Linked DNA regions of Oryctolagus cuniculus. The protein of the gene in region 1 interacts with the protein of each later gene in a biochemical or structural test. Links are inferred from orthologs where the notes say so. Each region holds a gene or a part of one and is shown on either strand. Other genes may lie near its edges.

Evidence for each region.
Region 2: the proteins of UBE2D2 (region 1) and RNF168 form a complex in vitro, tested with the Homo sapiens proteins (3 studies listed by BioGRID). The link is inferred for Oryctolagus cuniculus from reciprocal best matches to the Homo sapiens genes UBE2D2 and RNF168.

What each region holds. Positions count from the first base shown.
Region 1 is NC_091437.1:27,257,676-27,263,905, forward strand, and holds the start of UBE2D2 (ubiquitin-conjugating enzyme E2 D2), read left to right. Parts: upstream 1-2,736; 5' UTR 2,737-3,203; coding exon 3,204-3,227; intron 3,228-3,740; exon of another isoform or gene 3,741-4,259; intron 4,260-6,230.
Region 2 is NC_091435.1:83,002,740-83,008,245, reverse strand, and holds part of RNF168 (E3 ubiquitin-protein ligase RNF168), read left to right. Parts: intron 1-2,314; coding exon 2,315-2,494; intron 2,495-5,506. UniProt on the Homo sapiens protein: E3 ubiquitin-protein ligase required for accumulation of repair proteins to sites of DNA damage. Acts with UBE2N/UBC13 to amplify the RNF8-dependent histone ubiquitination.

The DNA.
Region 1 (6,230 bases):
TTTCCCCCAAAGAAAACTCCATGGCCAGATGGCTTCACTGGTGAATTCTACCAAATATTTATTTAAGGAAGAAAAAAATAGCAATCCTAAATAAACTCTTTCAGAACACAGAGGAAAGAACACTTCCCAATTTATCTTATGAGGCCAGTATAACCTTGATATAAAAACGTGATAAAAATATTACAACAAAATTATAAACCAATAGCCCTCATGAACATAGATGTAAAAATCTGCATGCCCTTTGGTGTAGCATTTCATTTGTAGTAGTTTTTCCTAAAGAAGTACTCTTAGAGCTGTTACAAGATAGTCACCACAGGATTACTTTGTTATTTTATAAAGTATTAATTTATTTTCATTTTACTTGAAAGGCAGAGAGAGAGAGAGAGAGAGAGAGAGACCTTCCATCTGCTGATTCACTCTCCAAATACCTGTTAACAGCTAGGGCTGGATCAAGTGGGAGCCAGGAGCCTGGAACTCAGTTTGGGTGTCCCACATGGGTGGCAGGGACCCAAGTACTTGAACCATCATCTGCTGTCTTCCAAGAAGCTGGATGCAAGCAGAGGCAGGACATGAACCCAGGTATTTCTATGAGAGATGTGGGCATCCCAAGAGCAAGTGCTGTGCCAAACGCCTGCTCCACATTATTTTCAAATTGTAAAAACTGTAAATGCGGAACAGGTGTTGTGCTGCAGTGGGTTAAGCCGCTGCTTAGGATGCCCGCATCCCATACTGAGGTGCCTGGTGAGTCTGGCTACTCTGATTCCAACACAGTTTCCTGTGGATGTACATCCTCAGAGGTGGCAGATGATGGCTCAAGGACGTGAGTCCTTGCCACCCCGGCTGGAAGGCAAGATGGAATTCTGGGCTCCTGGCTCGGGTCTGGTCCTGTCCCAGCTGTTGTCAGCACTCTGGGAGTGGATCAGCCAACGGAAGAGCTAGCTGTTGCTCTACTTTTCAAGTAAATAAAATAACCATAAAAATTAAAAAATCGGAAACAATTTAAATGTCTCCCAATGTGTGACCAGTTAATATGGTACTTTTTTTTTTTTTTTGAAATATTTATTTATTGGGGCCGACGCTGTGGCTCACTTAGCTAATCTTCCACCTGTGGTGCAGGCATCCCATATGGGAGCTGGGTTCTAGTCCCGGTTTCTCCTCTTCCAGTCCAGTTCTCTGCTATGGCCCAGGAGGGCAGTGGAGGATGGCCTAAGTGCTTGGGCCCTGCACTGGCATGGGAGACCAGGAAGAAGCACCTGGCTCCTGGCTTCGGATTGGCACAGCGCCAGCCGTGGCGACCATTTGGGGGGTGAACCAATGGAAGGAAGACCCGCGCTGGCCCCCACATGTCTCTATTTCTTGCAACAAATGCATATTACTTTTCTAATATACAGTTATGGAGAAAAAAAATTTGTTAAAGATTTATCTATTTGAAAGGAAGAATTGGGTGGGGATAGGAGAGAGAGAGAAAATTTTCCATCTGCTGGTTCACTTCACTAATGGCTGCCGAGGACCGGTGCCGGTCCAGGCCTAAGCCGAAAGCCAAGGAGGTTCTTCCAGGTCTCCCACGCGGGTGGCAGGGGCCCAAGCACGTGGCGGTTGAAAACATTCTTAAAAACCTGCCCAGTGGTTATTTTGTACCTCTCTCAGATTTCTTAGCAAGAAAAGATCTGGGGCTGTACAATGTTCCTCTTCAGCTCGAAACTCAAAACACATCCACTCTGGACAGCTGGATAACGGTTCTTCACGGGGCCGCGGGGGCTCTGCCCTGAGGATACAACCCAGGCGGCTCCCCACTCCTGCACCGTGGGACTCAGCGGGCCCCAGTGTTTACCTTCTAATTTCAGGAGTTAGAATCGGTCTCTTTCAGATGTAAAGGAGGCAGCATTTGAATCACAAACCCTGCGGGTGAATGTGAGAATATGGGCATTTTCTCCCAGCAAAATATTCCTGGCTACCTCCCGCTAGTCTCCAGCTAGATCACGAACACTGCCTGGCCCAGGCTGGGCCGTGCACTACGTTATTCTGGTCCTGGTGGAGGGCTCAACAGACAAGGTGCTGAGCTAGCGCTCTGCTTTCAGCCCCTGAAAAACCACTTCCCACATTCCACGTTCGCCTGCTAGCAGGCGCAGGACGCTGGATTTAACTACGGGGCACCGCGTATTCGAGGTAACTGCACCAAGCACCTCCCCTAACGCTGACATGCCCTCTCCCGCCCGGGCCCTCGTGGCGAAGGGCAATCTCGGGGAGGATACCCCCGATCCCGGCGGGTGCCGACTGCCGCCACAAAGCTGCGGCCAAGTGGCCCGTGCAGACCCCAAGACTTCAGATAAGTCCGAGTCCGGCCGCTGAAGAGCTGTTTGACCTTGGACAAGTCCCTTCCGCCTTGCAGGGACTTTGCAACGTGCCAAGTGCCCGCTCGGGGGACTAACGCGGGAACGGGCTAGCGACCTACAAAGCCTCTGCTTTCACGTGCTTATCGAGCTTCAACTACACGCGCTGGGGGGTACGACACGCAAAGGATCCGAGGGGCGCCGCGCGGGAGCGACCAGAACCCGCGCCTCGCCTCTCGCGAGATCTCCCAGCGCTTCGCAGCGTCATCCCCTCGGCGGCCGCGGCGGCGACAGCGACGGCGCGTACGAGCCTCACAGGGGCGGCACGTATCCCTCCGCCGCCGGCGCGGCCCGGCCCTCCCTGCGCTGGCCCGCCAATCCCCGCGCCTCCCGGCCTGCCCCTCGGCCTGGGCCCACCCCGCGCTCGGCGGCCCCACCCCGGCGGCGCCGCCCGCCCGCCCGCGCGTCCCTCGGTCCACCTGCAGCCCGCAGGAAGGCCGGCAGTCCCTCCGGCTGTTCGACCGAGAGGCGCCCGCCGAGCCCGAGGCTTGGGCGCTTGCTCCCCGGCGGAGGGATCCGTGGCGGCTGAGGAGGCGGCGCTGAGCCTGGGAGGAAGAGGCAGCTACGGCGGCGGCGGCGGCGGCGGCGGCTGGGGCGGCAGCGCATAAAGGGGCCGCCGCCGGGTGATGCGGTGACCGCTGCGGCAGGCCCAGGCGCTGAGTGGGCCCCGGCCCTCAGCCTGTCCCGTCGGACCCGCGTCCCCCACCTCCCCGTCCTCTTCTGCCGACCCGCGATCCCGAGGCGGCCTCAGCCCCCCTCGTCCCTTCCCCGTCCCTCCCCTGCCCGGGGGGCCGCCGCCACCCGCCTCCCACCATGGCTCTGAAGAGAATCCACAAGGTAAGCCACCCGGGGTCGGCTGCGGGGCGCGGGGCGCCGGGCGCGGGCCGGCAGAGCAGCCTGCGGCCTGCACTTCCCGCCGTCGCCTCCGCCGGGCTTGCGGTCCCTGGATCCCGGTCGGCTGCGGGCGCCGGCCCCGCGGGGCGGCCTGCACACCCCACTCCCAGTGATGGCGCCCGTGGAGGCCCCGGCGCGCAGCCTGCGCTGAGGTCGGAGGTGCCCTCGCCCCCTCAGCGCGCCTCCCCGGCCGCTTTTCCCGGCCCGCGAGGTGTTGAGTCCCAGGGCCTCCGTCCAGCCTGGTACTGCTGAGTCGAGGGCCATTGTCCGGCCAGGCCGGGGTGGGGGGTGGGAAGGCTGGGCGTTGGGCTGTCCGGGCGCGCCCGGTCTCTGCCCACTCCGCACCCCGCCTGCCCCAGTTGCCTTCGCAGAAGCCCCGGAGCTCGGGGCCCCTATCTCGGGCCGCTGGAGGAAGCCTTTTTGCCCGGCCCTCAAGTAGTTCTTGAGTTCACTTACCTCTTGGGCGGCTGCATGCTTGGGTCCATCCTGCTTGTCCAGAAACAGAGAGCACAAAGTTCGGAAGGAAAAGCTGACCCTGATGAGGAAGGAGGGAAGTAAAAGCAGAAGGCGGTTTATTGCTTTGAGATTCCCATATGTAGTCGGCCACTGGCCCTTGAGTTTTGCGAATTGGTCTGCTAGATAAACGATTACCCTGCAAGGGTAGCAACCAGTCGTTTCAGAAATCTGACCATAGGCAACCACAGGAGAAATTTCAGAAAGATTGCTTTCCGCAGTCTCTTCGCAAAATGGGCTTTGAGGTTGAAATTAGGCGATACTTTTAGGAAATCCTTTTTAGGAGGAGTTTTACTAGGTTTTCTGTTAGAAAGGACTTTGCTCCTTAAAAGGAATGTTTATTAATTGCGTTATTTGGAAGGAGGTTTTCCTGATCCTTGGCTGGAACCATAGCCTTCACCCGATATTGGAAGCTGTCAATGCAGCTTACTATTGTTTTTGTTTTTTTCCTTAGAAGTGAGGAGGCACCACTGACATTTCTTTGGGTGTTCCACTTGGCTAGTCAGATTGGCTATATTAACCTGCAGCTGCTTAGGGAGAAGTAGGTGCTGGGATCCTGAGTCCTGAATGGTGGTGATGAGCATGCAAAAGGGAGAGAACCAGTTTTCGTCTTGCCTTAAACTAAGAATGCAGGTTGATGATTTAAACACCTCAGTTCAGGCATTGATCTTCATTGCATTTCATTAAAGATTGGAGACTTTTATTGTGAAATTATATTTTTTAAAATATTTATTTACTTGTTTGAAAGAGTTACACAGAGAGAAGGAGAGGCAGAGAGAGAGAGGTCTTCATCTGTTGGTTCGCTCCCCAAATGGCTGCAACGGCTGGAGCTGCGCCGATCTGAAGCCAAGAGCCAGGAGCTTCTTCCGGATCTCCCACATGGGTGCAGGGGCCCAAGGACTCAGGCCATCTTGTACTGTGTTCTCAGGTCATAGCAGAGAGCTGGATCGGAAGAGGAGCAGCCAGGACTCAAACCACGGCACCCATGTGGGATGCTGGCACTGCAGGCGGCGGCTTTACCTACTATGACACGATGCCAGCCCAACATTGTTTTCTATAAATTAGATTAGATCATTAGCGACATTTTTGAATTTAAAGCAAATGATAAAGAGCAGACTTTAGATAAAGTAAATCTTGTAATAGAATGAAGTGTTTGTTAAAAGAAACTTGAACTTAAAGTAAGGTCTTGGGAGTTAAAAGCAGGAGCACACTGAGGAATGTTCTCCCAAGTGAAATGTTTGTGAATAAGTATTTTAAGACTTCTAGAAGTTATTAGGTTCTAACAGAGTTTAGTGGGGAAGTTATCAACCTGAGTTGACACTTGGTTTTATTTCTGTAGAAGAATGCTCTTATTTTAAAACCTAAAGAGGATTGTGAGTACAGTGTATAGTACTTCACAGATCCAGAAATGTAGCATTTAATCTGTGCATTGATATATTGTGTTATGGATAACTGCTTTGGAGAAGAAAATAGCACTTTGATTCACAATACATATTTTAATCTAGTAATACTTGTACCCACTAATAAGATTTCTTTTGAGTTACTATCTATTTTCTAGAATTGTCTTTTTCTAAAATATACCCTTAAAAAATTTTTTTTTAGTAAAAACAAGTTTGAAAATGATAATTTGAACTTTCAAATCTCAGCATTAACCTCTTTTTCCCCCCCTGGTTTTTTTTTTATTATTTTTTATTTTTTTTTTAAAGATTTATTTATTTATTTGAAAGTCAGAGTTACACAGAGAGGAGAGGCAGAGAGAGAGGTCTTCCATCTGCTGGTTCACTCTCCAGTTGGCTGCAACGGCCAGAACTGTGCCGATCCGAAGCCAGGAGCCAGGAGCCCCTTCTGGGTCTCCCACGTGGGTGCAGGGGCCCAAGGAGTTGGGCCATCCTCTACTGCTTTCCCAGGCCACAGCAGAAAGCCGGATGGGAAGTGGAGCAGCCGGGTCTTGAACCGGCGCCCATATGGGACGCTAACACTTCAGGCCAGGGTGTCAACCCACTGCACCACAGTGCCAGCCCCTCCCCCCTGGTTTATAATCTAGAGCCATCTTCAAAGTTTGACACCTTCTGTGAGACTATCAAGAATTAGAGAAATGAGATTTATTTATGCTGTACCAGTCAAAAAGATTCTGAAAGCAAAGTGGACTTAATTGTTTTCAAACTTTTTGTATGATACTAATTTTAAGTTGATTGGCAGATACACCAGGTATAGGTAGAACCAGTCCTATCTTACCCTCAAGTCCTAGTAATGGAGCTACATTGGAATCCCCAGAAGACTTGCTTGGCTTATAAAATTACCTTGGTCAGTGGGCTTTCCTGATTATCTTTCTCTGAAGAATTTTACTTAAGTACCCTCTCAGCTTTAGATGTAATGAACTGCTACTTCTAGGCTCTAATAAAATTTTTCGAAGAAAAATCACATTTGCCATGT
Region 2 (5,506 bases), on another chromosome or scaffold:
ACCAGCATCCCATCAGGATGCTGGTTCAAGTCCTGGCTGCTTCATTTCTGATCCAGCTCCCTGGACTGGGGCGGGGGGCAGGGGACAGGAAAATGGCCTGGCCCAGCCCTAGCTATTGCAACCATCTAGGGAATGAACCAGTGGACGGAAGATCTCTCTTCTCTCTGTCTCTTCCTCTCTCTAACTTTCAAGTAAATAAATATATATTTTAAAAAATTAAAAGTTCAGCACACCGGGTTCTAGTCCCGGTTGGGGCGCCGGATTCTGTCCCGGTTGCCCCTCTTCCAGGCCAGCTCTCTGCTGTGGCCAGGGAGTGCAGTGGAGGATGGCCCAGGTGCTTGGGCCCTGCACCCCATGGGAGACCAGGAAAAGCACCTGGATCCTGGCTCCTGCCATCGGATCAGCGCGGTGCGCCGGCCGCAGCGCGCCGGCCGCGGCGGCCATTGGAGGGTGAACCAATGGCAAAGGAAGACCTTTCTCTCTGTCTCTCTCTCTCACTATCCACTCTGCCTGTCAAATAAAAAAAAAAAAAAAATTAAAAGTTCAAGCCTACTATTTTGTTCTTTGTATTATTTTGTTTTTCTACTTAATATCATTGGTTGAACTCTTTAATTAACACACAATTATTCTTAGGTGTTTAAACCCAACTGAAAATTGATCTTGATTCCTGTTTTTTTTTTTTTTTTTTTTTTTTTTTTTTGACAGGCAGAGTGGATAGTGAGAGAGTGAGAGAGAGAGAGACAGAGAGAAAGGTCTTCCTTTTGCCGTTGGTTCGCCCTCCAGTGGCTGCCGCGGCCGGTGTGCCGCAGCCAACGCACCGCGCTGATCCGATGGCAGGAGCCACGTGCTTCTCCAGGTCTCCCATGGGGTGCAGGGCCCAAGCACTTGGGCCATCCTCCACTGCCTTTCTGGGCCACAGCAGAGAGCTGGCCTGGAAGAGGGGCAACCGGGAAAGAATCCGGTGCCCCGAACGGGACTAGAACCTGGTGTGCTGGCGCTGCTAGGTGGAGGATTAGCCTATTGAGCCACGGCGCCAGCCCTTGATTCCTGCTAAAAATAAGAGTGGGAATAAGAGAGGGAGGAGATATACAGTTCGGCGCACACTCTCTCAGACTTACCCCTAAGGGTAAAGCTTTTAAGTTCATAACTGATCATAAAGATAGGATTAAGTGTCAAAGGGATCACATAAATAAGACCAGTGTCTGCTAATAATAATTGATATAATTAAAAAGCAGGGAAAGATCCAACATGGGAAGCAGGATACACAGCAGACTCATAGAATGACAAATGCCCTAACCAGCACCCTTGCCTCAGAATCAGCCCTTAAGGCATTCGGATCTGGCTAAACAGCCCATGAGAGTATCTCAGGCATGGAAAGCCAAGACACTGCGGCAAAAAATGACCTACGTGAAAGATCTCTGTGAGTGAGATCTCAGTGGAAAGAAAGGGCCATCAAAGAAGGAGGTACCTTTCTCTGAAGGGAGGAGAGAACTTCCACTTTGACTGTGGCCTTGTGTATATAAGATCAGAGATTGTGAACTCAAGAGACTTCCATAGCCTTGACAGCTCATGACAAGAGCCTCGGGTGATCACTGACATTATAAATAAGAGTGTCAGTTGTTAAATCAACAACAGAAGTCACTGTGCACTTAACTCCCCATATAGGATCTCTGTCCTTAATGTACTGTACTATGAGAATTAATGGTAAAACTAATCTTCAAGCAGTATTTTATACTTTGTGTGTCTGTGTGGGTGTAAACTGTTGAAATCTTTACTTAGTATAGAGTTGATCTGTTGTATATAAAGATAATTAAAAATGAATCTTGGCCGGCGCCGTAGCTCACTAGGCTAATCCTCCGCCTGCGGCGCTGGCACTCAGGTTCTAGTCCTGGTTGGGGCGCCGGATTCTGTCCCGGTTGCTCCTCTTCCAGTCCAGCTCTCTGCTGTGGCCCAGGAGGGCAGTGGAGGATGGCCGAAGTGCTTGAGCCCTGCACCTGCATGGGAGACCAGGAGGAAGTACCTGGCTCCTGGCTTCGGATCAGCACAGCGCTGGCCGTAGCGGCCATTTGGGGGGTGAACCTTTGTCTCTCTCACTGTCTAACTCTGCCTTTAAAAAAAAATGAATCTTAATGAAGAATGGGATGGGAGAGGGAGTCGGAGGTGGGATGGTTTGCGGGTGGGAGGGTGTTTATGGGGGGAAGAACCGCCATAGTCCAAAAGTTGTACTTTTGAAATTCATATTTATTAAATAAAAATTTTCTATTAAAAAATTAAAAGTTCAGGGAAATATTGTTCTGTATTAATGCTTTTTGAGGTGGAAGCAGAGCGACGAGCCAGTGAGGAAGAAGAAAACAAAGCCAGTGAGGAATACATACAGAAATTACTGGCTGAGGAGGAAGAAGAAGAAAAGAGACAAGCAGAAAAAAGGCGAAGAGAGATGGAAGAACAACTGCAAAACGACGAGAAACTGGCAAGACGGCTAAGCATTGATATTGTAAGTTTTAAGAGAGAACTTAAAAAGCTTTTTAAATATGTTATTATTGAATTCAAATTTTATAGAAAAGCTGTTCAGTGAAAAATGAGTTTCCTTTCTCCCCATTCCACCTCTCCACTCGCATTCCTGTTCCATTACATGAGTCTGTTTGAAAGGCAGCCATTGGTAACAGATTCTTAAAACTTTTTCCCTTATTCACTTAGAAAGGATTAAATCATACTATTTTGCTCCTTGTGTTTGTTCAGAGACTTTTCACATGTAGTCTAATTCTTTTTTTAAGAGTAGAATATCATTCCATTGTATTGATATAAATCACTATTTGAAAGTAGAGTACATATTCTTAAGTAATGTGTTCAACTTGGATATTATTAACTTGCTGTAGTTAAATTACTGCTATGAGAAAATGAATTGAAAGATGATAAAACATATACTTTTTTATATACTTTTACATATTTGCTCTAATCAGTTTTTTTTTAAAAAAAGCTTTTTAAATGTTATTATAAATTCAAATTATGTAGGGAAACTATTCAGTGAAAACTTCCTTTCTCCTCATTCTACCTTGTCACTCCCATTCCTGTTCTGTTACATCAGTCTCCTGGATTTTATTATCTTGCTGTAGTTAAATTACTGCCTATGAGAAAATGAATGAAAGAAAGGATGATCCAGCACATATATTAAGGCCAAAGGGAACCAAGGACTTTAAAAAGCCTGGCAGAATTACCAAAGGATCCTTGAAAATATATACTCTTGTACCTACTCCAAATCTACTGAATTAAAGTGTCTGGGGTGTGGGACTTAGGGAATTTGGATCGTCCCTACAGAGATATGAAACATGCAGGTTTAAGAGGTTGTGAGAACAATTCCTTTGCTTTCAAACAATAAATATCTCTAAAAATATATAGCTAGTGTGGCCAGTGTTGTGGTACAGCAGGTTAAATCCCAGGGTTGCAGTGCTGGCGTCCTTGCTCTGCTTCCGATCTGGCTTCCTGCTAATGCGCCTGGGAAAGCAGAAGATGGGCCAAGTACTTGGTCCCTGCACCCACATGGGAGACCTGGAAGAAGCTCCTGGCTCCTGGCTTCAGATTGGCTCAGCTCTGTTGTCATGGCCATTTGGGGAGTGAACCAGTGGATGGAAGACCTTTTTCTTTCTCTTTCTCTCTTTCTTGCTCTCATTCTACCTCTCTCTGTAACTGTCTTTCAAATAAATAAAGTAAATCTTTAAAAAATGTATATTTACTTAACAAAAATGAAGTACACTGAGAACCAGCTTTTTTTTTTTTTTCTTTATTTCTTTTCTGAGAGGCTTATAGTTTGTAAAAATATTCTCAGGTTTTGGATTGTATGCCCTCTTTCTTATAGCCTTTTTCACCATTTTTTTTAATTTATTTTTATTTATTTATTTTTTTATTTTTGATAGGCAGAGTTGACAGGGAGAGAGAGAGACAGAGAGAAAGGTCTTCCTTTTTGCCGCTGGTTCACCCTCCAATGGCCACTGCAGCCGGCGCGCTGCGGCCGGCGCACTGCGCTGATCCGAAGCCAGGAGGCAGGTACTTCTCCTGGTCTCCCATGGGGTGCCTGGCCCAAGCACCTGGGCCATCCTCCACTGCACTCCCTGGCCACAGCAGAGAGCTGGCCTGGAAGAGGGGCAACCGGGACAGAATCCGGCGCCCCGACCGGGACTAGAACCCAGTGTGCCGGCGCCGAAAGGCGGAGGATTAGCCTAGTGAGCCATGGCGCCGGCCCTCTTTTAGCCTTTTAAAAAATGTTTGAGTAGAATAACCTTAGAAAGATGCTTAATCAGGAAATAAAATTAAAGACATTGAGCAGTGGAATAGTAAATGGAACAGAAAATAAATGTGTTGAAGAGGACAGGTTGCTGTTCTCTGTGCCTGTCTTTAAAGTGTCTGTGCTTCTAAATCTTCCAGCTATAACATGGGATTATAGAATATTTTTATTAATATTTTATAATAAGCTTTGGTTTACTTGAGAAAGTTTGGACCAGAGCCAAGTGTTCACATCACAATTTTTTTTAAAGATTTATTTATTCATTTATTTATTTGAAAGACAGAGTTACAGAGAGGCAGAGGAAGAGAAAGAGCAGTCTTCCATCCACTGGTTCACTCCCCCAGATGCCCGCAACGACTGGAGCTGTGCTGATCCAAAGCCAAGAGCCAGGAGCTTCCTCTGGGTCTCCCATGTGGGTGCAGGGGCCCAAGCACTTGGGCCGTCTTCTACTGCTTTCCCAGGCCATAGCAGAAAGCTGGTTTGGAAGTGGAGTAGCTGGGACTTGAACTGGTGCCCATATGGGATGCCAGCACTGCAGGCAGTGACTTTGCCTGCTAAGCCACAGTGCCAGCCCCCACCATCACAGATTATATGAATTTTCCAATAAGGTAGTACAAAACTTATGAGACTGATAAAACACAAATATTTGTAATATTTATTGTTACACGCTTAAGGCCTAGACTTAAATTATTTTCATGTTAAACTAAATTTTACTCCTCGTTATATCTACAAGTCTTTGAATTTTCCCCTATAGATTAAGATAGTTATTTATAGTCGTATGAAACTTTGTTTAGAAAAAAATCAGAATTTATCAGCTAAAGAGATTAGTATCGTGATGCCATTTTGCATGCTTTATAATCTACAGCAAAAATTGATTTATTTAGATCAACTTGGATGTACTTAATTTTGTTTCTGTAATCATCCCTCAGTATCTAGGGGATTGGTTCTAGGAGCTCGTCCATGGATGCTCAAGGGCCTTTTATGGGTGTAGTATATGCCTGTAATCTGTACATACACTGTCATAAACCTTAAGTCATTTCTAAATCAGGCCAGGCATTTGTCACAGTGTTTTAGGGCACCTGCATCCCATATCAGAGTACCTCGTTCAAGTCTTGGCTTCCCTGCTTGTGATCCAGCTTCCTGCTGATGTACACCCTGGGAAGCAGCAATAATGGTTCAAGTACTTTGGTCCCTGCCACCCTTGTGGGACCTGGATTGAACTCCAGG